Linked DNA regions of Cricetulus griseus. The protein of the gene in region 3 purifies or fractionates together with the protein of the main gene of each other region. This does not show direct contact. Links are inferred from orthologs where the notes say so. Each region holds a gene or a part of one and is shown on either strand. Other genes may lie near its edges.

Region 1 (9,938 bases), on a different chromosome or scaffold from region 3:
TATTTAAAAGGGGCTCATATTTTATGGAAAGGCAAGTAAGTCTTTGACCTAGTTGCCTGTCTTCTGGCTTATCTTGTTGAATTGCTACCTACTTAATCTAAAAAGAGGGCTGAGAGCTGAGTGGTAGTGGTAGCAGCGGCGGCAGCAGCACACACCTTTAATACCAGCACTCTGGAGGCAGAGGCAGGCAGATCTCTGTGAGTTCGAGGCCAGCCTGGTCTACAAAGCAAGTGCCAGTATAGGCTCCAAAGCTACACAGAGAAACCCTGTCTCCAAAAAGAGGGCTGTAAATGTAAATCATCACAGAACACTTGCCTATTATGCGTGAGGCACTGGGCTCAATTTCTAGTGTTTTTTGTCTGTCTGTCTGTCTGTCTCTCTCTCTCTCTCTACTCTCTCTATCACACACACACACACACACACACACACACACACACACACACACACACACACACACGTGTACTGGATTTGCATTTCATTTTCAATCACCCTCAAGTAAAATGAAAATCCCAGGTTGATTTTATCCTATGGCTTTTATGCCTGGAACACTGTCCCTACCAACTCGCTAGTGACTCCCACTTTGAGAAATATAAGAAGTGAACTGTCAAAAAGATTTTGAGCAAGGGAGTAATAGGATCAGATCTGCAGTCTAGAAAGATCTGGCAGCTTTGGGAAGAGAAGCTGGAGTTTCCAGATGTAGATGTAGGGATACTGTCTGAATAATATTTTCACTGAGGGTGGCCAAAAGTGCAACTTAGTGCAGATGGGTTAGGTGTTGGGGAGACACACTAACAGAGCTTGGCAGTGATACAGGGGAGGTAGCTGGGAACATATAAGAAAAATAGTTAGGATGCTCCCATATTCCTGGCTTAGATTATTTCCAGGAAAACCAGAGAACAGGTATGAAGGGAAGGATGACTGGGTTTAGACATCCAGAAGCTGTAGTAACTATGGGCCACATAGGCAGGGATTTCAGAGTTACACAAAGTATAATTTTCTGGACCGGAAAAATCTTTCCATACATTTATCTTGTTCAAAGGAGACAGATGTTTGAGAGTGGGAGGTAACTTCAAATCCACAGCTACTTCACCACCTCCTTTTTGTTTGATTGTCTGTTCCAAGCCAGGGTCTCACTATGTAGCTCTGGCTATCCTAGAACTTACTATGTAGACCAGGCTGGACTCAAGTCATAGAGAGCCACCTGCCTAGGATTAAAGGCATGTGCTAACAATCGGCTACCTCACACCTCTTTGATTCATCTTCATGAGAAAGGCACAGAAGCTAGGAAACAGTGCCGGGGCATAGTCTAGAGCAGCAGTTCTCAACCCCTGGCGGGTCAAGACCCCTTTGAGAGTCAAACAAGTCTTCCACAGGGATCACTTAAGATCATTAGAAAACAGTATTTACATGATTCTTAACACTAGCAAAATTACAGTTACAAAGTAGCAACAAAAATATTTTGATGGTTGGAGTCACCACAACATGAGGGACTGTATTAAAGGGTCACTGTATTAAGAAGGTTGGGAACTGCTACTCTAGAAGGCTCATGACAGAGAATGTTAGGAAGAGCTGTTAGAGGTTTGAGGAATTTAGGAAATTGGCCCTATTCAAGTAACAAAGCTATGCAGCAAGGAAAAAAAAAAAAAAAAAAAGACAAAGCCCATACAGGTGGCCTTGGGAGTCAACATCAGACTGCCAGACTAGAAAGATCACTGGGATCATTCAGGTGAGGTAAGGGAGGCCCAAGGAACTCAACAGCCTTGGTCTATGCCATACTCAGGAAGTGTAAGTGTCCAAGTAGTGGCTCACATTCTGAGTGTATGAGAGTCATAACAAGAGACATTAGAGGAACCCAGGGTCTGCCTCAGTGACACCTGGGAGACAGGAACAAGAGAGACATACTGTTAAAGAAATTTGTCCTGTGGGATAGAGTACATGTCGCTGTCCAAGTGGCACGATGGAGCACCATGGCCTGCCAGGCAAGTCACCTGGGGTCCTATCAGTTTCTAAATGCTAGCCTCTGCACATTCCAGACTTTGAGGAAAGATTCACATCAAACCTTTCTCTACAAGTTGGTGCTTAACACTCAGGGCACAATTCTTGGTCATTCTACTGGCCAGTGACAAGCCACAAAAGGCTCTGCTGCAGCTCCAATCTGGAGCACACAGGAAAAATGTCCAACCCTTAGTAGTTCCACTGGACATCAATCAGGAGCTGAGCAGGGTGGGCGTTTGGAAGACTTCAGCCTCCGTCCTGCCTAGTGCTGGGATCAGCACACACGGCTCCTGTGTCCACAGGACACAGAGAATACATTGTCCATAAGGAGGATTATTCTGTACAAGAAACTCAGACAAAGGGAGAGGTTGTTTCCAGCTGCTTGGGGGAGGTTTGGAGGGGGGTGGAAAAGAGCTCGGCCTCACATCGGGGCATTCCTGCTGAGTTCAGCTTCTTCCTTTCAGCAGCAGGGTCAGAGGTGGACAACCACATCCTCTCTAGCCTGTACCTAGCTAGTGTTGGCTCTCTACAGAGCTACAAGGAACATTTGCCTACAACCTACCTAGCTTAGCTATCTTAGCATAGTTGAGCATGGTGAAGCAGTTAAATAGGACAGCAATTCACACTGGAAGAAGAGAAAGAACAGGTGACCAGGGCAATCAGCAATGGCTGAATCCCAGCCTCAGGGCAGAACTAGAGAGAGAGGTCTTAGGCAACCTCCTTGGGCTTAACATTGATTCCATAAGCTTCCACCTTCAGTGGGATGAACTGCTGTGGGAAGACTTGACGTTTCACGCCTGCTGCTGCTTTCTCCATCCCAGAACAAACCTGGGAGACAATGGAGCAGACCTTTGTCCATCTGATCCCCTTGTCCAAGGGCCCCAAATGCAGCAGAAAGTACATTCCCCAAGCAGAAGACAATGGTCAGAAATAGGAATGCTAGAGTAGTGCAAGTCATCTACAAAACCCAAGTCTGAGCAAGTAAATAGTTTTGCCTTTTTCATGGGCAACTCCATATACACTCCTGAGAGACCAAGTAGTAGGGGTTCCATACTTTCCATTGTGGGGGAACTGGCATATGAGCCCCAAAGTGGGAGATCAGCAGGTCTGTATGCTGAGATGTCTGGAGCTTTGAGGAGAGGAGGTGGTGGAAATGACAGCAAATAACAGAAGTGTGGGTGCCTCTACCACCAAAGTGTTTGCTTAAGAGATGTAGGTGAGACCTGAATGTTCCTCCTGCAGCAGGAAGATATTGCTGTTCTTGGAGGACAAGACAGTCGTTTCAATAGTATGGTGGGAATGAAGTCAGTTCAGCTGGTACAATGAAGACGCCCAGGGTTGGTTACAGGTGGAGTAAAGGCTAGCAGTAACCAAAAGATACTCTGAGAGTCTGGAAATGTCCAGCTAAATTCTATTCAATACCCCAGTTAGCTTTGATGTTTAGTGGGAAGGGAAAAGATGAGAAAATAAACAACACCTGGACGGGCTAATGGGCCAGCCAACTTAAGTGGGGAAAAGATTTGGCATTGCTCAGAGCAGTTAACAGGATTCTCCTGGTGTAGTGTGTTGTGGTCAATTAGCTTTGTCAACACCACCTATGTCTCCACAGACCAGCAACAGAGGACCACTTTTCCAGGCCTTTGCTGCCACAGCCTGGTAGAATGCTGTTTAACAAAGACCAAAGACCAGAGCGCTAGTGTGTGACAGAACAGAACACAAATAGTGCAGCTGGAAGGAAGTCTTTGTGTTTTTAAATACAAGAAAAATTAAAAATAAGGGAATACTTTAAGGAGAACAAATTAGAATTGCCTGGTAGATCATTCATAAATTTCAGTCAGACAACCCTGAGCCAGTGAACATTAATTTAAATAACTTTATTGAACGAAGAAACCTTTTGGTCCACTTCTGCTGACTCAATCTTTGCCCTTGCCCACAAAAGAACGCTGAGGAAGGCAACATGGCTGCCTGTTCAGTTCAACTCTACAAAAGCAGGCAAGGTGAATGGGGCTGTTGCCCTTCCCACTTTCAATCTGGATCTTATCTGAGCCACATGTTTAGTGAAATGGAAGAGGACAGAAACAGGGAGTAGTTGTTACTGTGAGGACAAACAAACCCTGATAAATGACAGTGTTAAGCCCAATTCCTTTCAAAGGCGGAAGACGGTATTTTATGTGTGTTATTGCCTGACAGGGCCATCTCCTAGGAAATCTCCCACCTATTGGTCCCTAGACATCTTCATAAGCAGAGCAGGGTAAAAGATGGGCACTTTTATCCATTTCCCAGATAAAAACTGAACTGGTTTCATCAGATCTGTAGGTGGACAGTGTCCCAGCCCAGAAACCTCTTTGCATGCAGCCTGGATGGAGCCAGCAGGATGGAACCTAGGCAGGAGAGCCTACAGAAATAATACACCTCCAAAACATGCAGGCTACCCTGGTTCCTGGATTACTTGATCCTGCATCCATTAGCTCGCCAATGTCATGGAGCTGTGTAAATCACAGCAAGTTCTGTTTGCAGGACAGAGAATAGCAGGGTGGAAAAGTAAGAAACTATCATTTATTCAAGGCCCAGTAATTCATATACCATGCTAAGTGTTTTACATTCATTTTCTCATTTTAATCCTCACAACAACCCTATGAGGTAGGTATTATCACCATTTACAAATGAGAACACAGGCTCAGAAAAATTAGGTCACTTTCCCCAGGTCGCATAGCTATTCACAGTGGAGCTGAGATTTGTCTCTTGCTGAAAGCCTGTGTTCTTTTTATTGTACCCATCTAGGTAAGTCTGAGCAAAAGATAATTTCATTCCTCAACTCAGCACAGATCACCTGAGAGTGGAGGCTGCTGTCCACATTCACCGCTGATAGGGATGCATTGAAGCTGACTTGATGTTCGTTTTTATTCCACTTGGCATTTTCCCTAAAATTAACACAAAGAAAGGCATCTGAAACAAGGTAAACTTTCACAATAAATCAGAAATGCAGCCTCTCAGATTCCTGTCAACTCCTATATCTCAGAATCTCTGCAGCCTCTGATTCTGGATGGCAGAGATTATAGGCTGTGGCTCTTCAGCCAGGTCCCTCACTGAAGATATCTAGAAGGAAAGGGGTGATCTGAAAGAAGACAGAAGGGGTCTGAAGAGTCCCTTCTCCCCTCCTCCCATGGGCTTCTGCTCATCTACTTCTGGAAAAGACAGGCATGTGGCCTATGTGGCCCCTGTTTAGTGTCACAGGTAAAGAGTACTGTGTTCTCTGTTATTTTAGTTGTCCTTTTCTCTAGACAGCCTGCAGAGACACCTTTGCAGCTGCTCCTGCGCAGCCCTCCAGACTGCTCTCACAGTAAGTAAAAATGTGTGTGAGCAATGCTAGGAAGTCAAGACCAAGGGACAGGATGCAAGGAAAAAAATCCCAGGAAACTGCCAGGTGTTGATTCTTGATTAAGGTCTGGTCACTTATTTCTCTATCTAAGAGAAACATACTAACATCCAGAATAAACAGGACAGTTGAGACAAAAATCTGAGATGGAAGTAAAGGTCCTTCTTCACTCTCTGGTACCCGTTGCAGAGCTTCTAACTGTCTTCTGAGTGGCAATGGAAGGAGGAAAATCTCCAAGGCTGGAGTTGAAGGAGGCTTAATCTAGCTCATTCCCACACTGCTGCACAGTTAGCCCACATCACCCTACCTGGTTGACCTGCTTGAGCCATCTGGACTCCACTGAGCATTGTCTGCTGCTGGTTCGGAGCACCTGCCATCTGAACTTGCTGTAATCCTGAGGCTCCTGCAAGGATTGTACCAGCTCCTGGCTGGCCGGGTTGGCCAGGACCACTGCTACCTGAAGGTCTCCAATTAGACAGCCCCTTCCCAAAGGCAACAGCTGCCACTAAGGCATTGGTGTCTGCAGGGTTGAAAGTCTGCTTGTTTGGCCGGAGACCTTAAAAAAAAAAAAAAAAACAAGAACCCTGAAGTGTGTGTTCCACTCTCAACCAAACCCAGCAGCTGTGAGGCCAATGATGACCACCAGGGCTTACAGTTGTGACTGCAGAAACACCTGGAATCAATCCCTCCAGCCCATCAAAGAGCTCAAAATCCCCAAACCTATCTTTAATTTTCACTTTGTCCATTTCTTTCATTTGCTTTAAGGCTAGTCTTAAACACAAAACACTAACAGGGTACAGACCCTTTCCTTGCCAGTTCATTCTTCTGTTTTAAAATTGGATTTACTTATTTTGTGTGTGGTGGTCAGGGGACAATTTGCTGGTTCTTGCCTCTACCATACAGATCCCAGGCATTAAACTTAGGTCAAGCTGGCAACTGGTGCATTTGCCTACTGAGCCATCTTGCCAGCCCAGCAGTTCATTCTTATGTCCTCACTTCACTATTACACAGACTATCATTCCTATCATAGTGGTCGTATACAGTTCTCACTCTGTTCTGCCAACCAGCCTCCTTACCTCCACTCTCTGATTCTCGTTCCTCTTTGCTAATTTTCTCCAAAAGGTTTGAGCACATTTTATTCAAGCTCTGGATCTGCTTCTGCAACACACAGGAATTGATGTAGTGATTAGAAATGACTCTGGGAAAGCATCTTCCTTGTGCTCTTCCAAAGGCAGCCTAGCTGTAACCAACCACAGACTCCTACTACCCAGGCTTGGTAAAGTCTTGCTTCTTATGAAGGGATGGGGATGGGGCAGCAGGGCAGTGACTCAGTCCAACCTGAGCTGCATCAGCACCAATTCTGGCAGCATCTGTTGTCAGCTGCTTCTCCTGCTCTTCAACTTCAGGGTCAGGCTTGGTTCTCAAATGGTCAGGGACGACCTCATGGCTGAAAACAGGCACTCGTCCTTCAGTCTGACGCTGTAACACAGATTGTATTGATCCTATTGTGCTATCCAAGTAAGCCGATTCTAACCCAGTTTCTCTTCCGTGGGAAACTGCATTTTTAGAGACAACACAACCTGAGACACAAATGTAGCTTTCTGTGGCTTTGTCTTTTCACATACACTCTATCAGAACTAGGACAAAATAAATTCCACCCTCCACAACCGCACTGTAATTTTCTTTTTGTTGTTGTTTCTATTTTGTTTTGGTCTTTCGTGATTCCCCACCCCCATTCTGGGGACCAAACCAGGACTTTTTTCTACCACTGAGCTAAATTCCTAACCCCACATTTTAAAGACTGATTGGACAAAGTTACAGGCAAGCAGAACAGACTTTTTTTTGGAAAAGAAAGGTCATGGACTTAGTTGACATGGCCTTGGCTTTCACAACATTATTTAAGAGTGACTCCTGACTCCAGAAGGACAAAAAAGCAAGTCTTCCAGATAGCAGCCCCTACTTTTCATTGCTATACAGAGGGTCCAATCAACAACTGTGCTCCAGACTTTCATTTAAGGACCTGATTTCCCTGGTTCAATCCTTTCTTCTTACCATGAGGTCTTCATCTCGATCTGGGGACAGCACCAAAGGGATGATGACCTGGTTACGGAACAGTGGTGTCTTCTCATGCTTTAAGACCTTGTTCAGAGTGTTCAACTGTCCAGAGAGCAATGCAAAGCTATCCAGGACAGAGGGCCTGCGGGTGGTAGGAAGTCATCAGAACTACTTTTCCCTATAAAGTAATCTCTAAAGTTCTAATGCTGGAACACCCAGACTCACCCCCAGAAGACTCACAGCCCTATGACTAGCCTAGGCAAGAACCAGATTTTCTAGCAGAGATGATGGAGTTGGGAAAGAGGAGCACACTGTCAATTTCCAACACGGACACACAGACGTAGAAAAAAAGCAACTCTTTTCCTTTTGGGGGGGTGAGGGGGCAGGGTTTCTCTGTGTAGCCCTGGATGTCCTGGAACTCACTCTGTAGACCAGAATGGCCTCAAAATCACAGAAATCCACCTGCCTTTGCCTCCTGAGTGCTGGAATTAAAGGTGTGTGCCACCACTGCCAGTCGTAACTCATTGTTTGAATGGGATTGGAGGTAGTGGAAAACAGAAACTGTGGTTACACTGTGGTAACTAAAAATTCTTTAAGTGGATAAAAGCCTCCTTTCTAGCCTAGTTAACAGAATCCATCATTCCAGAGTAGGGTGGATCTCAGATTCAGCCACATCTGTGGAAGGAGATCCAGCATGAATATAGCTTTAATGGTTCCCCACTGGGGGAACACCTCCTCACCAAAGAAGTCAAAGCGTAAGAATTAAAACCTCGAAACAGCCTACGTTGGGAAACTGGGCATTTCTCTACTTCCTTGCCATGGAGGCTTTAAGCCAAACTATACTTGTCAATGTTGGGCAACCTAGTTCTTGCCAAATCAAAAAGGATATTTGCAAACTGATAAATAGTTACATCATTGGAGATGTCCTGTCAGCCCGGGGGCTTGGCCCCACCACCCATGGATTCCCTCCCCGGCTTGCCCTGGCAATCCTTACCAAGTCAGCCGGTCATACTCGTTTTCCAACTTGTAAATGAAACTCCCCAGTGAATTCTTCAGATCGGCCACTTGATTCAGCAGTGCATCTAAGGATGCCTCAAGCTGCTTCTCCTCCCTCTGCATCAACAGTATGCTTGGTTACTCAGATACGAGCGATCGTGGCACATACAGAAAAGCTAAATTGGTTTCTATCTTGGTATTTGGGTTACAGACAGCATCAACCCTTAGACCTTTCAACCTGTTCACCTGGCCTGAAGTCCTCTTACCAATTGATTCCTTCTATCAACCTCCTACACTATGGCCCTTCAAAAGGAACATTACACCAGACCTAATTCCCTTCTGCTTATGACCTCACCATTTTGTCTTCATAACAAAACTGGCTTAGAACTGTTTATCACTTAGCCCTTCATCTTTTCACTTCGATTCTCTTCTCCTCCCAGCTCAAAAGACTGCCTCTCTTAAAAGCCAACATTCTCTTAATCTGCAGATGCTCAAGCCAAAGCACAATCTTCTTTGTTAAGTCTAGCCTTTTCTGGAAAACAGTCTGCCTACCACGCAGCTGCTTGATGTCCTAACTCTGCTTTCCTTGGGCATATAGAGAATCCTTGTATTGTGTCATTCTGTGGAGTTGGTATTGCCACATTTCTTTCAGAAAGTTCAGTACATGTTAGAAAGGTTTGCCAAGGTAACAGGGGTGCTGTCGGCATATAAGGCCAGAAGGCACACCTGAGGTTCATTATCTCATTACCTCATGGGTGCCTCTATAGTACATGCAAGCCATTATCCTCTGCCCTGTGAGTGCAGCTACTCTCAACACAATCTGGAGAATCTCACATTTTGCCCGTATCTGAGGCTGTCTCTGAACACCAGCTCTGCAGCTCCCCTCCCCAACTGGTCCTTTGCTGAGTCAATGTGTACTCCTGCATCTCTGTGCCAGTATTCCAGTGTCTCTTTCGTAAACTCGGGTGACCCATAAACAGTCACTGTAGGAATACCAGGTGCAACAAACTGAGTAATGGAAGACAAAGGCGAGGAAACCAACACATTCTTTCTGGACGTTAGACAATTTTAAATGCTGTGTTGGCAGAGGGTTTCCGTTTGACCATCTGTGGTCTATTTACTCCACTTCTGCGCCCTAAGCAACGGGGTACAAGGCGGGAAGAATGACACAAAGCTGATTTGCAAACCCGAGAATGTGAAGGATGAGGTTGGATACTAGGTTCCACCCACAGCCTCGGATTACAAACTGCTTAGTTTTCGTCCTTGGCGGCCCACAATCCCTTCAGCCTTCTGAAGCCTTGTTGCGCCTGTGCCCAACAGTCGAGGTCGAGGGCTGTCCCAGCCCACTTCTTTCTCTAGCCTTCCCAAATGCCAATTCGATCCTTTCACACAGTCAAGCAAGTCGGCCGTGCCTTTCCCCCTAACCCACGCCTCTGACCCTCTGGCGTTAGCGCGCTAAATCCCCGCGCCCCCCGCAGCTGTCCTCGTCCCTTCCGGCTTCGCCGCCTTTCCCCAA
Region 2 (9,938 bases), on a different chromosome or scaffold from region 3:
GCTATCCCACTGTAGGCTCACTCTGTGTACACCTATTTGTCTGGGTCGACAGTGAACAGTGAGTTCACAGCATCACTACCATGCAGTGAACACTGGGATGTACAAACCACGGCTAGGAACTCACCGGGAGGGCAGTGATGATCAAACCAATTGCGTTCATCCATGCTGTAATGTTCTCTCTTGGCACCAAGGGCTGACTGCAAGAAGACAGAAAAAAATGTAAAATTATTAAAACATTTTATATGACTGACCAAGGATCTTGTTTTGAAAACAAAAGTGATTAAGAAGATTCACAATTGATCAACTCCAAACAACAATGGACATTTAATTGAAAAAAACTATAATACAAACAAAATAAGTCCTGTGTGTGTGTGTCCTTTAACAATAGTTATGGGGCTGAAAAGACTATTTGAACTTATTTCTACTTTCTCCCAATCGTTATTTCCTACTTTTTTTGCTGATCTTCTAAGAAAACTTTTTGTGCGGGTTGGGGTTTTGGTTGGGGACTTAACCTACCATCTAGCACTTACTAGACAAGTGCTCTAAAATCAAGCTACATCCCCTGTCCCTGGGGATCTGTAGAGACTTATTAGTGACAAGTTAATTAGTGACAAGCAGGTGATAAGAGGCATCAATGTGAACAAACCTCGCTCTTCCAAATCCAAGCATCATTCATTCTCTTACACTTACACTATGGAGATGAGACTGGGAACCAAAAGACGGGTATTATGCACAGTGCTCAATTTGGGGCACAGGTTTGCCCGACAGTAACAGCTTCAGAAATAAACCAACTCTTACTACATGAAAAAGGACACAGACCTTTTCAGGACGACATTTAGAAGGGCATTCCCAACATCTTTGCCTGGAACTGCCAAGGCCATGAGTTCCACACAAGTGACATGCAAGGCATGGGCAGCAGGGTTGGGGAACTCATTGAATCTCCAGTCACAGTTTGGGAAGGGCCCAGGAGACTTGCCAGCCATGGGTGCAAATGATTAAGGAAAAACATTTAGAATATTCTGAGGTTAACGACACAATTATATAATGTTTACAGATCTCACAATGTTTTAAATGAAGGCATCTCATTTGATTATCCACTTATCTGATTATGGGCTGTCAAGAAGTAACTTACTGCAATTAATACATAACAGGATAAACAGTACAAACTAAACACAAGGTAAGTATGACATGACTGAAGCACACTGAGCAATACCCAGAAAACACAAGTGGTTGCTCTTACAGATGGCTCTTAAAACAGGCACTATACAAGCAGGAGACAGGATCACATACAAGCAGGTGTCCTCAGGCTTCTTCAGGCTATTTCTTTTACAGCTATAGGACTATTTCACATAAAAATTACTTTTAAATGTGTAATTCTTTTACCTTAAGAAATATATTCCCCTGTTTAGGAAAACAACACTGGTATGGTATACAGACATGTTATGTAGACTTGCTCATAACTGTACACATGAAATCAAACTGAAGAAATAAAAACATCAACACTACAGCTATTTAGTTCAAAGCTTAACTACTGTCTATTAACAGCAGTATGTTTTGAAAGTACTCAAGGATTTACTATTTATTTAATTCTCTAACTAAGGTAGGGTCTTGCTATGCAGCCCAGGCTAGCCTTGAACTTTTAGAAGTCTTCCTGCCTCTGTCTCCCAAGTGCCAGGATTAGGGGTATGTGCCACTACAGCTGGTTCTAAAGGATTCTTTTAAAGTAACAAGACTAATGCTCTCCAGGAGCAAATGGACACCTGTGCTGTGAAATAACCTTTTTGTGTAACTGAATATGTATTATTCTCATTGGTTAATAAAGAACTGACATGCCAATAGCTAGGCATTTTGGGGGCAGAGGAATGCTGGGAAGAAGGGCAGAGTCTGGGGAGTCACTAGCCAGATATGGAAGAAGCAACATGGGGAGCTCACAGATGAGGTAAACGAGCCTGGGGACAGCACACAGATGAACAGAAATGGGCTAATTTAAGTTCAAGAGCTGGCTGGAGACAAGCCGAAGCTATCAGCCAAGCATTAATAATCAATAAGTCTCTGTGTGGTTATTTGGGAGCGGTTGCCATGACACAGAAAAACTCCATCTACATACTTGCACTGTAAGACATAGTATACGAAATTGAAGTAAGAGTTCCTACTGTGAAACAAATGTCTTTAAAGTCTGTTCTTAAGTATGAATAGCAACAGAGAAAATTCCCACCTATCTGGTATAATGATGCAATTTAAGATTTCAAAAGGAGATGACAATCATTAAGGCCACTTTTAATCCCAGCACTTAGGAGGCAGATCTGTGTGTCCAAGGCCAGCCTGGTCCACACAGCAAGTTCCAAGCCAGCTGTAACTACATAGCTGGACTGTCTCAGAACACACACACACACACACACACACACACACACACACACACACACACACACACACACACACACACACACACACCCACCACCCATCCACCCACCCACCCGAAGAACTGAAGGGGAGTGCAGTGGTGTGCACTTGCAGTTGTAATTCTTGAGGCAAGGAGTTTAAGGTCAGCCTGAGCAACACAGAGGCTCTGTTCAAAAAAAAAAAAAGAAACTAAAAATGAGGTTTTGATATACATAAAACATTACCTTAAAAACAGTTCACAAGCTAAAGTACTACTATTTCTAATGAGTGAAGAAACATGACAGAAGAAAGGATATTGTCTACCAGTCGGCCAATCAGCTTGCAATAGTAGGAGTCCTCTGGAACCCAAGGATTGTCCTCCCGTGCATTCATAGCATGCTTCAGGTAAGTATCACTGAGACACCAGCCCTGTGGCCGGTTATCTTTGAGGGAGCCGATGATTGCATGGACAAGTTTTCGTTTGAGATGGTCACGGTTTCTCAGGCACATTTCATAATAGTGCAAAGTATTATACAGATAAGTCACTGGTCGGTCTGCCAAGAAGAAAACAGGTCATCGTGTTTATCAGGTTATTGACAAGTTTAAAAGTGAACTGGTTGTTTTCAAGACTACATGAAAACAACTAAGAAGATTGTGACACTACTTCACGGGCTGAACAACTACATTTGATGAGTTCTTTAATCCCAGTCAGCCAGAAAAGTCCTACTAATATACGCAGTATTTAAGGATGGTAGTTATTCTGAGTGAACAATTTCACCTCAGTAAATTTATTGTGCAAAAATTGACGTCAGCTACGGCCCTGTTCCCACTTGCAAAAGGTTAGCAACTGTTAAAGCAGCCAAAAAACATAGGACTGGGAAATGGTCACAGTGAGAGGCAGGTCTTTACGCACTGACATTAAGAGTCAACCTTAATACAGGCAACAGGAGAAAGAACCTGGTACAGAACAGGGTTTTATTACAGAGACAAACAGCAAGAAACCAGAACAGCATCTAAGGAAGGGGACCTCAGCAACTGTAACAGTGCTTGCTCAGAGTTACAGCCAGCTCTGGAGACATGCATACCCATTACACACCGCATTCCCACACCCAAAGAGCACTGTTTTTAAGGGCATTCTTCCTTGAACCCGACACTTATTCTGCATAGACTGTAGATCAAGGACTAACAATTGCCCCGGGACAGCTTTTCTCTGCTGTGGTTACCCTGAGCCTTTCATGTCTCTCACGGCCTGCATCGTGCTCCAGTGTCCAGTCGTAAGGCCACGGTTTCAGTGGTCTCCTAAGCAGGCACCAGCCACACAGGGAGTCGTGTTCCTGGCTCATGTTTTTAGTCACAGCCCACGGCTTCTGAGAGGCTACTCTACACCAGTGCTGTGAGGAAGCTTTGAAAGGGCAGTATTCTAAAACACTGCTCACATGCTCACGTCCCACTCAGTGACCCCACCCGACCACCATCTTCAGGCTCTAAAACCCAAACTGGCATTTAATGTGATCATGCAGTCAAGTATATTTTCCTTTTCCAGTCTCCTTTGAAACTCCTCGGTAAACATTCTTAATTCCGTCTAATGAAGCAATTTTCCTTCAAATATGCCCTTTTTTCTATCACCAGGGTCTTCCCCAAAAAATGACTCATATATTCTTTCACCCCTCTTGCTCATACAAATCATTTACATCAAAAGTTCAAGTTGTAATTCAGAGGCCTGCCAAGACACATTTTATTGATAGTCAAATCGCCCTGCTCTGTGTGTCTTACCATATCTTTGACATCATTTCACTGCACTTATCTTCCAGCACTTTAAAACCTGCAGAACCACTGTTACCACATGGCAGAGCCCAGCCTGTCTGCTCATAAAGGATATTAGATGGAATGAAAACATGAACAAACTCACCGTGGAATTTATATAAGCCCCCTAGGTGATCCAGAAGGGTCTCCAGTGATTTGGACACTGGAAGCAACTCTAAGAATCTGTGGATTACTATATCAAATACTGGAAGGAACCGGAGACACACATTTCCAAAATAGATGGGCAGATAGGGGGACTGGATTGGCACCGGAGGGTCGACCTGTTCTGCCAGGCCTTCGAAATACAGCTTCTCTGGATACTTCTGTGGGTGAGGGGACAGACATTTAGAGTATCTTAGAAAAGCATGCTTAAAGAGTTACAGAAAAAATGAAAATATTAATCTTTTTGTTTTGTTTTTGAAGACAAGGTTTCTCTGTGTAGCTTTGGAGCCTGTCCTGGATCTTGCTCTATAGACCAGGCGGGCCTCGAACTCAGAGATCCTCCTGCCTCTTGACTCCCAAATGCTAGAATTAAAGGCATGTGTCACCACCACTGGACTATAAATATTAATTTTTTTAAAAAAATAGCAATCTTTGATTTTTTTTGGTGCTGGGAACTGGCATGTGCTAAGCATATGCAAATCGGTGACACCCTAGCTTTCCCCAGAGACACACTGTATTAATTTTATTACAGCTTTCTTCACTTTATATGCAACCATGTGTGTTAAAAGTGCAGTTACAATTTAATCCTATTCATTAGCATAACTTTACAACTAATCGAGTGCCCCCCAACCCCCAACCCCCAAGCTGCTTTGCAGAGCAAGGCAGAACCCGTTAGAGCCAGTACCTTGTGGTAGTTCATATGCTTCGTATGCCAGTCATTCTGGAGCCAGTGCTCTGGGGAATTCTCCTTCACAAAATCACTTACTCGATTTCTGAAGTCATTTGGTTTGAGCAGCAGCAACTGAATTATGAAATAACAAACCTGGGCTTCATTTCCTTCATGACTACGCATGGCCTTTGGGAATGAACAGAAAAATTAACTGAGATTGTCCTATTTGTTCAAAAGTATGATCCTGCCACCCAGTAGGCTAAATTTTAAGACAGCAAATCTCAATAGTATTACAATTTTCCTCAATGTCTAGTCTACCCCAAACCAATTTCCCAGCAATCCTAAAGATGACTTGACCCTTTCTGGCCTGTTTATGGTTCACTATGCCTGTGGCTAGGGATGTTTAGATTAAACATTCAGTAAACTTATAGTAAACCTTCCCTTGACAGTGTGTCATTGAGGGTAATGTGTGATGCCCTTTGTTGTGTGACAGTGTTTTCCCTTCATTACAACTTACCTTAGCCCCCTACTACATTACAACTCTCTGTATGTTTATGCTCCACAGAAAGAGGTCAATGTCAATGAACTAAGCCACTGCATATATTACCACCATGCCCTGGCTGGCCTTGAACTTGTGACAATCTCCCTGCATCTGCTGGTATCATAAGCATGTGCCAATGTACCCAGCCACTACTGTATTTTTTAAAAGTGTACATATAATTTTTCAGTCTAATTCTCTAATTCAGTCTTTTCTTAAAATTTTCCTTGAAGGGCTGGAGAGATGGCTCAGAGGTTAGGAGCACTGGCTACTCGTCCAGAGGATGTGGGTTCAATCCCCAGCAGCTGCATGGCTCCTTAGAACTTCCTGTAGCTCAAGCTCCAGGGGATCTGACACCCTCTTCTGGCCTCCATGAGCATTGCAAACATGGGGTGTCTAAGCCAAACGCAGGCAAAACACTAATACACATAAAAAATAAAAATAAACTTAAAAGAAAAAAAAAAAAAAACTTTTTTTTCGAGACAGGGTTTCTCTGTGTAGCTTTGGAGCCTATCCTGGCACCTGCTCTGGAGACCAGGCTGGCCTTGAAATCACAGAGATCTGCCTGCCTACCGAGTGCTGGGATTAAAGGCGTGCACCACCAAAGCCCGGTAAAAAAACAACTTTTGTTTGAGATACACCAATAGGCAGAGGCAAAGGAGCATTTGGAGCATGCTGGGTATAAATGGGAAACAGTCTGAATTCTGACTACTGAAGTGAATGGTTACATTAGCTAGCATGCTACAAGGAAATGCAATGGCTTTTTACTACTTCCTAACCCCAGTGAAAGCCTCTGAGAATCACAGCATCACAACGCCAGAAAAAAAAAATATGTTTTATTCACTTTTGTACCTTTGTGAATGTAATACTAAATATTGAATATATACTGAGTGAAGAATTCAGAAATTTCTTTTTCTTTAAGGAAGCCTGAGTGCAGCATGAATCCATTAAAGTCTTTAAAGCCAAATAGAGGAAATCAGCATGTGGTCTCCCATTCATACAGATTGATCAAAGGATGATAAGAAGGCTTAGAAATTTATTTATTCTTACCAGGCAGAGAATTAATCTGTCCAATGTAACAATGTTATACTTCCATACCATGTCATTAAGAATTTCAATGCACTTATTAAGCTGCTGACCTCCTGCTGATGTAGAGAACTCATACACCAAGAAATCTGCAAATGTTCTCACATGGGCTACCAGGGCCCTGGCCCCAATTCTCTCCAATACTCTAGAAGACAAAGCGTGAGAATTAACCTCTCCTCGTATATGGATAACACTTTTGTGAAGCAGACAGCAGCCAGGCCTCAGCTTACCGGTAGCCGATCTGGCTTATGTGATCTGTCTCCAGGAGCATCTTCCAGAGCAGACAGAGGAAGAGGGGCGGAAAGCCTTGCACAGAGAACTGAGTAATAATCTCATTCTCATCCGTCATCGACTTCCACTTCCTGTATTCCTCCTCCACATTTTTTTTCAGGTTAAAGCGACTTTCCTGGGGTACATTATTTTGTTTGAAGAATGCCTAAAAGGAAGAGCAAAAGTTTATGCCAATGGACATAGTAAAAGGAACAGTGGACACATGGAGGTGAGAAATCTGTTCTGCATTCAGTTCTGGCATTACAAAACTAAATTCCCTTGAGTAAGTCAGTAACGAAGGCCTGAATGTCTACACTAGGAAATGTACAGGCTGGCCTACTGGCAACTCAAGTTTCTTTTTCTGTACTTCCTCAACAGAAATTCCAAGCAAGCTTGAATTCAAAGTCTCTTCAATCATATTTTGCTAATCTTTGAGAGGAGGGAGACAAGGAAGAAAAAGAAATGTGTACTGCTCGGGTTACGCATTTTATTATCTCCATAAGGAAAATGGATTACAATAACCCAGGGCTTCTGATCATGGTCCCCAGACCAGCAGTCCCAGCCAGTCCTCAAGCCTTAGCCCAGATCCGGTCAACCAGAAGCTCTAAGGCTGGGACCCACAAATTTGTAGCTTGGAAAGCTTTGCAGAGCAATCTAATATGTGAGAACCACTGCTGTAGTTTCACTAGAAGTCATGGAAACACCATTGTCTACCATGTCATAAATTTTCTCTGAGAAGCAGAAGATATGTAAGGTTTGCCTTTCTCTTTATTATGAAGTCACAGCTATAATTTTGTTGTATGGATAAAAAAATCCAAACACCGTCAATTTTAATATCTACATATTTTATGACATTCATTAAAGTACATTTGTCTCCATTTTAGTGATAGGAAAAGAATTTTTCAGGTCATGTGTTAACTCTTGTGAGATTCTAAAACTATTCATTTTTAAAAATGAAACTATAACATTTATGTTTTCAGAAACACATGTAGTCTTCAGTAGGATGAGAAGCAACTCAAGAGATTTTTGTAACAATAAATCTTTTCACCAGCTTCCCCAGTTCCACCCGCTGCCACGTTAAGGTCCTAAGTAACACACAGAGACTTATATATTAGGTACAATGCTGCTGGCCAATGACTAGGATTTCTTATCTGCTATCTCTGTCTTAAGTATCAGCCATAATTATTAATCTATATATTTTATAAAGAATTATCTGATCGAGGACACTGGCGGCATGCTTCCTCTCTTGTCGGGCTCACATGGTGGCTCCAGAGAAGAGAGGGGGAGGAAGAGAGTGATTTCCTGCTTGTGCCTGCCTATATTCTGAGTCTGCCTGCTATGTCACTTCCTGCCTGGATCACAAGACTTCTTTTTACTACATTTCCCAGAATCCTCCTCGACTCCTAGTCCCACCTATCTTACTCCCCTATTGGCCAACAGTGCTTTATTCAACAACCAATAAGATAAACAAACACAGAAGGACTTTCCCCATCAGCAAGTATTTTCAACAAGGAAATGAAAGCCAATTTTCTTTAGCTGTCACAAAGACTAACTCCCTAGAAGCCACTGTGATTGGAAGATTCAGTGTGTATTTAATATGTAATTCAGACCAGATTACCTGCAGAGGGGCTGGGAAACAGCTGAGGGTGTGTGAAGCCCAGTTATGAGGGGTAAAATTCATGATGGTCTGAAGGATATCTTTACACCAAGTTCCCTGTATTGAGTCTGAGCCTGTAAAAAAATCTAAACAAACAGATGTGAGTCAGATCTCTGTGACCACAAATACAAAATGCCAAGAAAGCAGAAAGTAGCCACGTACTCGGAGGTGTTTCAGTGCACTACAGTCATTGTTATTTACCTGTGGTAACTCAGGACCTAAACTCGCTTACCCTGAAAATAACCAGGAGGGACTTAGGTATTTTTTATTAAAAAACATGAGCACAATTAGTGAAGAGACAACAAAGGACTTTTGATTCCTCTTTACTTTTAATATGATCTTTACTGGGTCAAAACAATGGAACTGAGGAAGTAGAGGTCTGGTTTTGGTGCCTGAAAACAAGGGCCTCTCACTTTAACCAAAGCAGTGTCAACATAAATAGATAATACTTCTGCTACCAGAAGCAGACTGGAGAAGACACCTATGTTCCTTTCACCACGTATGGAAGGGCAATGAAACATCAAAACAAAAGCACCACTTCCCATTAAAGTTTTGTTGCAGAAAATACTTTTTTTTCCCATAAATGTTACTTATGCTAACGTCACATGCTATAGTATTTTTAAATGAATTATTTTTTAAAATTTCTCCATTTTAATGACTAATAGACTTTATGGATAGATAGAAATCTATAAAAAGAAAATCTTTGGGAATTTCAAATTAGTTTGAAAGCAGTTATGAAACAAAACCCTTAGTTAGAATGGTGGTGCCCTGAGCTTCCATTATTAACTGATCATATGGAGATGGCAGAACGGGCACCTCCTGAGTACAGTCTGCCACTGTGGCCTGAGAGGAGCAAGACACTTCATCTGCTAATGTGGCTCTCACAGTCTCTACCTGTGACATGGTTGCCCTGGCTAAGGTCAGGATCATGGTCTCTACCTGTGACATGAGTTGCTCTGGCTAAGGTGAGGATCAAGGCTCGGTTCAGTTCTTCAGATTCTGCTGACAGCACCGTTTTGGGATCACTGAGGAAACGTGTGAACTGCGGTTGGACCTCCGAGCTCCCTAGAGCTGTGATGAGCCTCAGCGCAGTGCTCTCCACACTGAAAGCAGCAAGAAAGCACAGTTCACATTTATGCAGTTAGATCCAATTGTAGAATTATTAAACTGAAAGGACACAAAGATTATACATTACCTTTCTTTGACATAAAAAAACCTCCCTGTTTGATGCTAAATTTTACAATCAGAAGTAGCTGACCTTTTACACATGCGACAAGAAAGAGCTTATAGACTAGATGAAAACCCTCCGAGACAAACAACACGTCAGTAATTGTATTTTTACTGGGTAAGTAGCACACACTTGCAAGGTCAGC
Region 3 (10,038 bases):
GACACAGACATTTCTTACGGTGACAAAGAGTATCTTATAGTAACGTCTAAGTAATGAGTGATGGCCAACATCTACCTCAACTAATATGAAGGAAAGGACAATAGTAAGTATATTTATTTCTAGCAGGAGCTAAGGACAGAAAAAAGTAGAGCAACTAGAATTGGTTAAAAAGGCACTGCAAAGAAAGGTATCACCAATCACAGAGAATAAAATGTCACCAATTTGGCATATATCATTCCCACTAACAAATAATGCCTCACTTCAAATGTTTGTAAATCAGAATTCACAACTACAAATAATTTATCACAACTATAATAATTTATCATTTTTAAAAATTATTTCTAATTTCCTAGCTGAAATCTGGTATAGGAGAAATCCAGTCCCTATCTCTGGTCTCTCCACACATCAGAGTGCCAACCAGAGAAATTCCACTGTTTCCCAAACCTTTGACTAGAGAACGAATCTCACCCACCTCAATCTACAGTCACCACTGCTTCCTCAGAACCCTAGCTCCAGCTCTTTGTGAGGCCAGCTAGCCAGAGCTACTGGCAAAGCTGTGTGTGGCAGCTCCTGCATCCGAGAGGCCACCTGGACTGCATGGCCAACAGTGCTCTGATGGAAAGCTGCTACAAACACACAAATAAGCTGTTTGGTACATGAAGATAAATACAGCTCCACTGACAAAAATAACCAGAGACCTTATCACAGCCACACACAACACACACTGCAAGGCACAAAAGAAACTAAGTCAGAAAGGCATGGCAAAGAAAAGCCTACACACCCACAGGGCTTTGCAGGAAAAAAAAACCAAAAAACAAAATTAAAATCAAAAGCACACTTTTGCTATTCCTCTCAGAATGACCCAACTTTTCTCATCTTCCAAGAGCCAACCAAACATTGCTTTCTCCATAAAACCCCAAAGTAATTCAGAGCTTCCTTCTCCAAATTACAATTAACATTATTATAGTACTTATTAAAATTGCTATAATTTTTGACAAGTTTGTTTTCCCAGGAGATAATTCCTCAAATAATGCAACGTTTCAATTCTTCGCCTTTCCAATGATTCAGAGTGGCCCAATAGCTAAGTGAATGAGTTTTTCAAATCTTAGAAGTCTCAAAGTAATAGTTCACATGAAAACTTCCAAATGACTTCTTTTTTGGGGGGCGGGGGGGGGTTTCCGAGACAAGGTTTCTCTGTGTAGCTTTGGAGTCTGTCCTGGAACTCACTCTGAAGAGTAGGCTGACCTCAAACTCACAGAGATTCTCCTGCCTCTGCCTCTCCAGTGCTGGAATTAAAGGTGTGCACTACTATCGACCAACCCCCCAAATGACTTCTTAACTTGTTAAACCTTGCAAACAAGCCGGGCAGTGATGGCGAACGACTTTAATCCCAGCACTCGGGAGGCAGAGGCAGGCAGATCTCTGTGAGTTCGAGGCCAGCCTGGTCTCCAGAGCGAGTGCCAGGATAGGCTCCAAAGCTACACAGCTGTCCTGTCTCGAAAAACAAAAAACAAAACAAACAAACAAAAAAGAATTAAACCTGGAAAATGACTCAAAACAGGAGCTAAAAATGTACTAATCGATGCCATGTGGGTAAGACATGCACCATAAATATTACTCTTGTCCCTTCCCATCACTCTTTTTTTTCTTTCTTTTTAACCCCCTCTCCAAGATAGAAACTCTGTGTAGCTTTGGAGGCTGTCCAAGAACTTGCTCTGTAGAACAGGCTAGCATGGAACTCACAGAGATCTGCCTGCTTCTGTGTATGCCACCATTGCCTGGCTCCCATCACTCCCCCCCCTCCACAGGGTTTCTCTGTGGCTTTGGAGGCTGTCCTGGAACTAGCTCTTGTAGACCAGGCTGGTCTCGAACTCACAGAGATCCGCTTGTCTCTGCCTCCCAGTGCTGGGATTAAAGGCATGTGCCACCACTGCCCAGCCCCATCACTTTTTTTTAAAAGGTTGTAAGGAACACTCATTAATGCACATCCAAACTATCCAAAGACTCAAAACTACAATAAACATTGAATCTAGAGTCCCTTGTGCTGACTCCCCAACAACAGACAACCATGGGAGCAGGTACTAACTAACCCAACACCAAGGTGACAAAACGAATGTTGGGTAGCTTTTGCATCTTTGGGAGTTGCCCAATTTCTCAGGATGCAGAAAAATTCAGAGGTTAAGGTTACTTGTTGCTCTTGCAGAGGACCTGGGTTTGACCCCCAGCACACACATAATGATTCACAACCATCCATGACTTCAATCAATCATATATGTGGTGCTCATTCATATACACAAAATAAAATTAAAAAGCACAAGAGGCTGAAGTAGGAGGACTGCTTAAGTTCAAGGCCAGTCCGAGCTACATACAGAGTGAGTTCCAGGTCATCTTGGGCCATATCAACTAGCAGATTCAATTGTATCTAAGGTATCAGTGGCAGACAGGGATGCTGTCCGGAGTCTTCAAGCTAATTATATGAAATAAAGTGGTTAAGGGCATGGGCTCCATTTTAGCCCATGCCTTTAGTCCCAGGACTCAGGAGACACAGGCAGGCAGGAACTCTGTGAGTTCCAAGCCAGCTTGGTCTACAAACCAAGTTCCAGAGCTGTTACACAGAGAAATCCTTTTTTTTTTGGGGGGGGAGGGGGCAGACATGGGATGTGCTCCAGAGTATATACACCGCAAGGACATTCTCAGGTCCTAACTGACATTGCTACTCACAGGACAAATCTGCTTAACTTTCAACGGCTTAGTTTCCTCATATATGAACTGAGGATAATAGGATTGATTGGTTTTTTTTTTTTTTGGGGGGGGGTGTCTCGAGACAGGGTTTCTCTGTGTAGCTTTGTAGACCAGGCCAGCCTCAACTCAGAGATCCACCTGCCTCTGCCTCCTGAGTGCTGGGATTAAAGGCATGCACCACCACGGCCCAGCTCAGATTAAGAATACTTTTGTGAGACCAAGTACCATGGTGTCTCAAGTGCCACCACAAGAAGCAGAGGCAAATGGATCTCTGATTTCAAGGTTAGCCTGGTCAGTGGTCTACAATCACAGCTGTTTTAATTCTAAAACTCCCATGGCATTTGATTCACTACAAAAATTACCAAAGTCCATCACAATAAACAGAATCATTCAAGGCTGCTGGAAAACAAACCCAAAACATAAAAGCTTAAAAAAAAAACCAAATGCAAATATTCAATTGCAATTACCATAAGTGATTAAGAAATACACACTAACACCAGCTATTTTTTGTTGTTGTTGTTTTTGAGACAGGATTTCTCTGTGGCTTTGGAGGCTGTCCTGGAACTAGCGACCAGGACATAGATCTCTCATAGAGATCTGAGTGCCTCTGTCTCCTGAGTGCTTAACATCAGCTATTTTTAAGATATGTAATTTCTTCTGAAATTAATCTTAACATCCTAGATGAAAACTTACCATCAAGATGTAAAAGATAAAGTAACCCCTGCATATACATCATATACTTAAAAAACCCACAATCAAACACATCTGGATATTTTATTAGCCTAACTTGGCAATGTATGAAGCCAGAATTGGCTCCTTTCACAGGGCCACAAAAATCACTAGCATTCTTAAAAACACAACAGATTGGACAATGTACTACACCATATCAAATGTCTTGGGAGTGGAGATGTTATGACCATGTTTCAAACTATGTGATACTGAGGGATGGAAGATGCTTTAACCCTCTGTAGAAAACTTTGCTGCAAATTCAGATGATTTCTTTAAATATAATTCATTAATAAAATGTTGACAAAACAAATCTAGTCAGACAAGAATCAGCAGCAAGGGCTCTGGATGCCACTCACTGCTATCCATTTAAAGCCACACAGCACCCAGAACACCAAGTTTTCCACCACTACCTTCTGCCCATATCTTCGTGGTTTCATTTTTGCACAAAAGCACTGAAATACATTATAAGAAGGCTTAATAAGGAGAAGTGTTTAATAAACTGACACTTCCTTTTCCATTATCCAGACTACTAAAGTATTTATAAACAAGCTCCCTTGGAAAGAACTCCCCGCAACTTTAAGGTTTCACTTTGTAGTGCTAAAGCAGTTCTGAATATGCACGCCTGTGAATATGAAAAAAAAAAAAGTCTTCTAAATAGTAAAATAGCAACTAGTCAAACAAGGGATGCTCAAGGAAAGCTGTTTCCAATAAACCCCAAAGATTATATAATAAGCTATGACAATCTTTCCAATAATTTCCTAGTGTCAAAGGCAACAGAAATAATACCTATTTGTACAAGAGAAAACGGGAAATTAATAAAGATTTTCTCCCCAACTAACAATTACTTTCCCTTTTGTTAATACTACAATGCAGTCATCTACTGACAAAGGAAAAAATGAGAGCTTCTATTTACTGTTAAGAAGCAAAATTAAGAGCATTACCAGTCATAGGTTTATTTCTTGTTTCTAGGGGAGAATTTTTGAAGCAGGAAAGATTATTTAAAGTTCACTGGCAGCTGATAAATTCTGGTTAAAGAGCTTGCACAACATAGCCCCGATTATCTGTCACTTGCTTCCCCCCCCCATCCACTCTGCACCAAATCCCCATTGTTCTATATAAAACCTCACAGCTAATGATACCTGAATAGCAACTGCTACTTTACATTACAGATGATCCTCCATGGAACTCTCCAGTCCCACACTCACTCGCTGTCTTCTTTCCCCCATCAAATCCAAATTTGGTCAACTGTTCACAATTGATAAGAGAAAAAGATCTCGGCTTCTCTTCCAGACTGATAGACATCACTCCAGAGGCGGGTGAGTTAGTCCCCAAAAGGTTACCGTGATAAATCGACCAAAGAAAAACACATTCGAACTGGCATTTTATAACGATTAAAAAAACAACAACAAAAACAAAAACACTGTACTGAAATCCACAAAAAAAAAAAAAAAAAGGAACACTGCCCATGAGACAGACGGTCCTTCTCCCTCTTGCACGCAGGGTTTCTTGTGTATTTGGATTCCTGGGACACCACTTCCTCCCCAAAGCAGGCTGACCGGGACAGAGGCAGAAGTAGTGGCACCCTGGCTGGCCACCTGCCTCTCAGCCTCGGGGACTCCCGCAGCGACACCCACACTCACCCATCTTTCCTCTTCGCCTTGTAGACGTGCCCGTAAGTGCCTCGACCAACTTTGCAGCCCTCGTATTCAAACAGGTCCTCGACCCGCTCCCGTTCGCTGCTCAGCTTCACTTTAAAGTCATAGTCCATTGTCACAGCCTCCGAGGCCGGGGTGCTGGGGTGGGGGGCCGAGGGCCGCGGTGGAGACCGGGCCGCGCGGCAGCCGCAGCCCCCGAGCTACACCCGCCGGCCGCAGCACCAGCCCGCCTCACGCGGCGACGGCAGGAGGCCCCGCGCGGGCGCCGGGGACATCCAGGGGAGCGCCGGGCGGTCCCCGCGGGCGCGAGACAGCCGAGGGACGCGCTGGGGGCGGGGAGCAGCGTCCGCCCTTGTCCCGCGCTCCCGGGGCGCCGGCTCTCGCGCGCGGTTGGCCGCGCGTGCTGCTGCGGGCGCGGGGCGGCCACGGCTGGCTCTGCTCCTCGCCCACGCGCGTCCGAGCCTCACCTTCTCCCACACGCGCTCACGCACACTCAGGGTGCCATCAGCCCCGACAGACCAGCGACGCCACACAACAGCCGGTAGCTTCTCCGAGAGGAGGAGGAGGAGGAGGAGGAGGAGGAGGAGGAGAAGGGAGGGAGGGAGGGAGGGAGGGAAGGAGGGCGGGCGGGCACGGAACCCGGCAGACGCTGTCGTAAAAAAGGTCGCGAAGCCTCGCGCTGACTCCGCCCCATCTGCGAGTGGCTCAGGAGGTGGCAGCCACCCCTTCTGACGCCGGTACGCGAAAGGGCCTCGCTCGGCGGCAGTGCGGAGCTGCTGACAGACTCACCACCACGTGGACCAACCCAGTCGGTAGCCCGGCCAGAAACTACAAGGCTCAGAATGCCCGGGTGCCTGCTGTAGCCGCCTCTTCCTCGACGCCGCGAATTCAGAGCGATGCATGATGGTATTGGTAGTCCATCACGCAACGAATTTCGGTTGCATGGAGATTATTTTTCCCCCAAAGCGTTATCTCTGCAATCTAAATTAACCCATATAAGCTTAGCAAAAGACACTGTTTAGCGAGGGGGTTATTTTGTATTGGAGTCACTTCTGAACTTCAGGATTTAAACGGCATTATGGCTGCTTCCCCCCCCAAGCCTCCAGGTTTTAATACTACAAATAAACTACGTAATTGTATTCATGGCTTGTCTTCCTTCACCTGACTGTATATTTCATGAAGTTCTCGGGGTTTGTACTTGCTAGGCAAGCGTACCATTATACTTCCAGTCAGGTAAAGCTATTTTCACTGCACTGAAGATTGAACCCTAGTTTTCATTTAAGTCTGTTGACAAAAAACAAAAACAAAAAACAACCCAGTTATCACCTCGAAGACAATAAGAGTTTATTGTGGAGCCAAATATGAGTGGCGACGGCTTAGAAACATAAATTTAAGTTACCATAAATTCCAACTTGTTAACAGTTTAATGACAATTTTATACCAAGAGAACAAAACAGTGAAGGGGGCTGGGGGGTAATGGTAGATGACAAAAAGCTTGACACATGTTGTCGTTTGATTTCTGTTACTGCGATAAACACCCTGTCTGCACACAACTTGGGGAGAAAATGATTTATACCAACTTACAGGTTAGTCAATCATCAAGAAACTAAAGCACCTTTTTTGTTTGTTTGTTTTTAAGCCATACATGTATATGTATGCCTGTAATACTAATGCTAGGCAGGCAGAAAAGGCGGGATCTCTGTAGCAGGATGGCCAGCTAGTCTTAACTGAAATGGTGCGCTCAAGGTTCCATGACAGACATCAACCTCTAGCCTCCAGACATGTATGCTTACACCTGTACAAAGAACACGTATACACACATTGGTGGAAACATCCAGGACGTTGGTGATAGAAGGCAAGAATGCATCTGCTAATGGTCTTACACGTCCTCTAAAGGCTAATTCTTAGCTTTTGGATTGGTGGGAGTTAATGGTCTGCTTGTGTATCCTAGAAAGATTTAATCAAAACGAAGATGCAGATTGGGGGGGGCGGGGCTTCGGTTCACAGCTCCCCCTGTTGGCCAAGCATCACACCTTTGTGTTGTGGAAGCCTAATATGTTGCACACTGTGAGGAAGGTTTGTCTCTAGAATCTCATAAGGGTGAGGATGAATAGGCAAGAAAGGCAGGGTTCAGGAGAGACAAGTAGCTAGTAAAGACATTAAGGAAACAACAATAACAAAACCCACCTGGATAAAATCAAGTTACATCTATTAATTATAATTATCCAAATCTAATTTTCCCCTCCCACCTCCACATCTGACATATGTAAAACACAATAGGGATATTCCACCTACAATTGAAATAATCCAGAATGGGACCGGAGCCGTAGCTCAGTGGTTAGGAGCACTTACTGGTTTTACAGAGGACCCAGGTATAGTTCCCAGGACCCACATGGAGTATCATAACTGTTTGTACTCCAATTCTAGGGTTCCAGGACCCACTTCTGGAACTGACAAACATGGTGCACTTACATACATGCAGGCAAAACACTAATATATAAAATGAAAAACAAATATTTTTTAAAACAATAATTAAGAACGCAGTATAAGCTGGGCAGTGGTAGCACACACCTTTAGTCTCAGCACTTGGGAGGCAGAGGCAGGTTATCTTTGTGAGTTTGAGGCCAGCCTGGTCTATGGAGTGAGTTCCAGGACAGCTAGGGCTACTCAGAGCAACCCTGTCTCAAACAAACTAAACAAAATGCAATGTGACCCAAATATGTAAATACAACAGAGAGACAGAGGAAATCAGGTCTTTTTATTCAAACCAACCAAACCCTGTAATTTTAAACCAGTTGGTCATGTTTCCCTTGAGTCTATGTTGCTTTTTACTCTATGAAATATTTCATTGGATGTTTAGAAAATTTTAAAGTATTACCTTTTAATTTTAGTGGATTTTTAAAGTCAATTTTATTTTATAAATATAACCTCATAAAGAGTGATTAGTTTGCCAGGCAGTGGTGGCGTACGCCTTTGATCCCAGCACTTGGAGGCAGAGGCAGGTGGATCTTTGTGAGTTCAAGGCCAGGCTGGTCTATTGAGAGTCCAGGGCAGCCAGGGCTACACAGAGAAAACCTGCCTCAAAAAACCCAATAAATAAATAAATTTAGAGAGAAAAGGGTTAGTTCTAATTTAGGAGAGATTGGTCTTAATATCTAAGCTACTCTTTTATTTATGGGTAACAATTTGATATGCCCAGTTATCCAGTGTATTGGAGCAAACTTCAATTTTGTGAAGTAAGTGGAAAAATTACATTACAGATGAAATTGGGTAATAATATAATAGTAACTAAAATTCCCCTATGGAGGGATACTATTGCAGCCCAGATACAGCAAGGAGTCCCCCCAAACAATATGACAGACTTTGAAGGTCCTTGGTGGAGGGCCTCACTATCCCTGGGGAGGAGTGGGGGTGGGGGGAACATGGGAGGATGGGAGGGCGAGGGAATGGGGGGGATGGATATGTAAATATGAGTAATAATCAAAGAATTTAAATAAAAAATTAAGACAAAAAATCCAAAAAATAAATAAATAAAATAAAATTCCCTTTTAATAAAATTATATGGAAGTTGGGGAAGGTTGTTTATGTACAAAAATGAGGTCAGACTTCTGAGAACTCAGGATTCCAAGGATTTTGTAAGTATAAGGTACTTTTAATTTTTAAAATTTTATTTACATAATCAAACCTTACTTATTTTATAGTAAAAAGGGAGAAAGTTCAATAGGAGTCACATTGTAATATTGTATAATAATGTTTTTTTAAGATTTTATTTATTTAATATGTATACAACATTCTGCTTCATGTATATCTGCACACCAGAAGAGGGCACCAGATCTCATAACAGATGGTTGTGAGCCACCATGTGGTTGCTGGGAATTGAACTCAGGACCTCTGGAAGAGCAGTCAGTGCTCTTAACCTCTGAGCCATCTCTCCAGCCCATAACTTTTTTTTTTTTTAAGAGAGAGGATTTCTCTATTTAATAACGGCTGTCCTGGAACTCACTGTGTAAACCAGGCTGGCCTGGAACTCAGAGATTTTGCCTGTCTCTGTCTCCCGAGTGCTGGGATCAAAAGTGTGCACCTGGTAGTATCAATTCACTTTATCAGCAAAATATAATTTGTTAACTTTTAAAATCCCGGATAATTTTACTATAGCACATTTTAAATATTCACCAAGAAACACAGGTGCTTGGGTAGAGAGATGGCTCTATGGATAAGAACACTGCCTGCTCTTCTAGAGGACCCAGATTTGATTCCCAGCACCCACATGGTGACTCATAACCTTCTTTAATTACAGTTCTAGGGGACCTGACACACTTTTCTGGCCACTGTGTGCATTGAACACACCTATTGGCATGTACATACACTCAGGTGTGGGTGCATGCATGGGAGCTCTCGTGCACACATGCATATACATACATACATACATACATACATACATACTATTAAATATTTTTTAAAAGACAGCCTCATGAGCTATAAAAAAAACACCAGGCAACTGTCTATTTAAAAATAATAAGGCCGGGCTCACGCCTTTAATCCCAGCACTCGGGAGGCAGAGGCAGGTGGATCTCTGTGAGTTCAAGGCCAGCCTGGTCTACAGAGCGAGTGCCAGGATTGGCTCCAAAGCTACACAGAGATACACTGTATCGAAAATAATAATAATAATAAATAAGGGATGGAGAGATGGCTCAGAGGTTAAGAGCACTGGCTGCTCTTCCAGGGGTCCTGAGTTCAATTCCCAGAAACCAAATGGTCATGGTGGTTCACAACCTTGTAGAATGAGATCTGGTGCCCTCTTCTGGCCTGCAGGCAGGCATGCAGGCAAAATACTGTATACAAAATAAATTTTAAAATCTAATAAATAAATAAGGATTATATAAAAATTTTAAAAGGACTTAAGATATACAAA

What was found.
Region 1: the proteins of Cdk8 (region 3) and Med8 purify together in Homo sapiens (affinity purification with mass spectrometry; 7 studies listed by BioGRID and IntAct, counting the BioPlex papers as one, with this or other methods). This does not show direct contact. The link is inferred for Cricetulus griseus from reciprocal best matches to the Homo sapiens genes CDK8 and MED8.
Region 2: the proteins of Cdk8 (region 3) and Med23 purify together in Homo sapiens (affinity purification with mass spectrometry; 10 studies listed by BioGRID and IntAct, counting the BioPlex papers as one, with this or other methods). This does not show direct contact. The link is inferred for Cricetulus griseus from reciprocal best matches to the Homo sapiens genes CDK8 and MED23.

What each region holds. Positions count from the first base shown.
Region 1 is NC_048595.1:33,896,401-33,906,338, forward strand, and holds the start of Med8 (mediator of RNA polymerase II transcription subunit 8), read right to left. Parts: upstream 9,219-9,938; 5' UTR 9,204-9,218; coding exon 9,171-9,203; intron 8,540-9,170; coding exon 8,421-8,539; intron 7,569-8,420; coding exon 7,424-7,568; intron 6,851-7,423; coding exon 6,710-6,850; intron 6,530-6,709; coding exon 6,448-6,529; intron 5,928-6,447; coding exon 5,679-5,927; intron 4,917-5,678; coding exon 4,852-4,916; 3' UTR 4,826-4,851; exon of another isoform or gene 3,855-4,825; intron 1-3,854. UniProt on the Homo sapiens protein: Component of the Mediator complex, a coactivator involved in the regulated transcription of nearly all RNA polymerase II-dependent genes.
Region 2 is NC_048595.1:244,073,126-244,083,063, reverse strand, and holds part of Med23 (mediator of RNA polymerase II transcription subunit 23), read right to left. Parts: intron 9,669-9,938; coding exon 9,505-9,668; intron 8,652-9,504; coding exon 8,527-8,651; intron 7,075-8,526; coding exon 6,869-7,074; intron 6,784-6,868; coding exon 6,603-6,783; intron 5,201-6,602; coding exon 5,030-5,200; intron 4,506-5,029; coding exon 4,289-4,505; intron 2,934-4,288; coding exon 2,697-2,933; intron 986-2,696; coding exon 820-985; intron 198-819; coding exon 125-197; intron 1-124. UniProt on the Homo sapiens protein: Required for transcriptional activation subsequent to the assembly of the pre-initiation complex. Component of the Mediator complex, a coactivator involved in the regulated transcription of nearly all RNA polymerase II-dependent genes.
Region 3 is NC_048597.1:82,144,419-82,154,456, reverse strand, and holds the start of Cdk8 (cyclin-dependent kinase 8), read right to left. Parts: upstream 5,386-10,038; 5' UTR 5,240-5,385; coding exon 5,112-5,239; intron 1-5,111.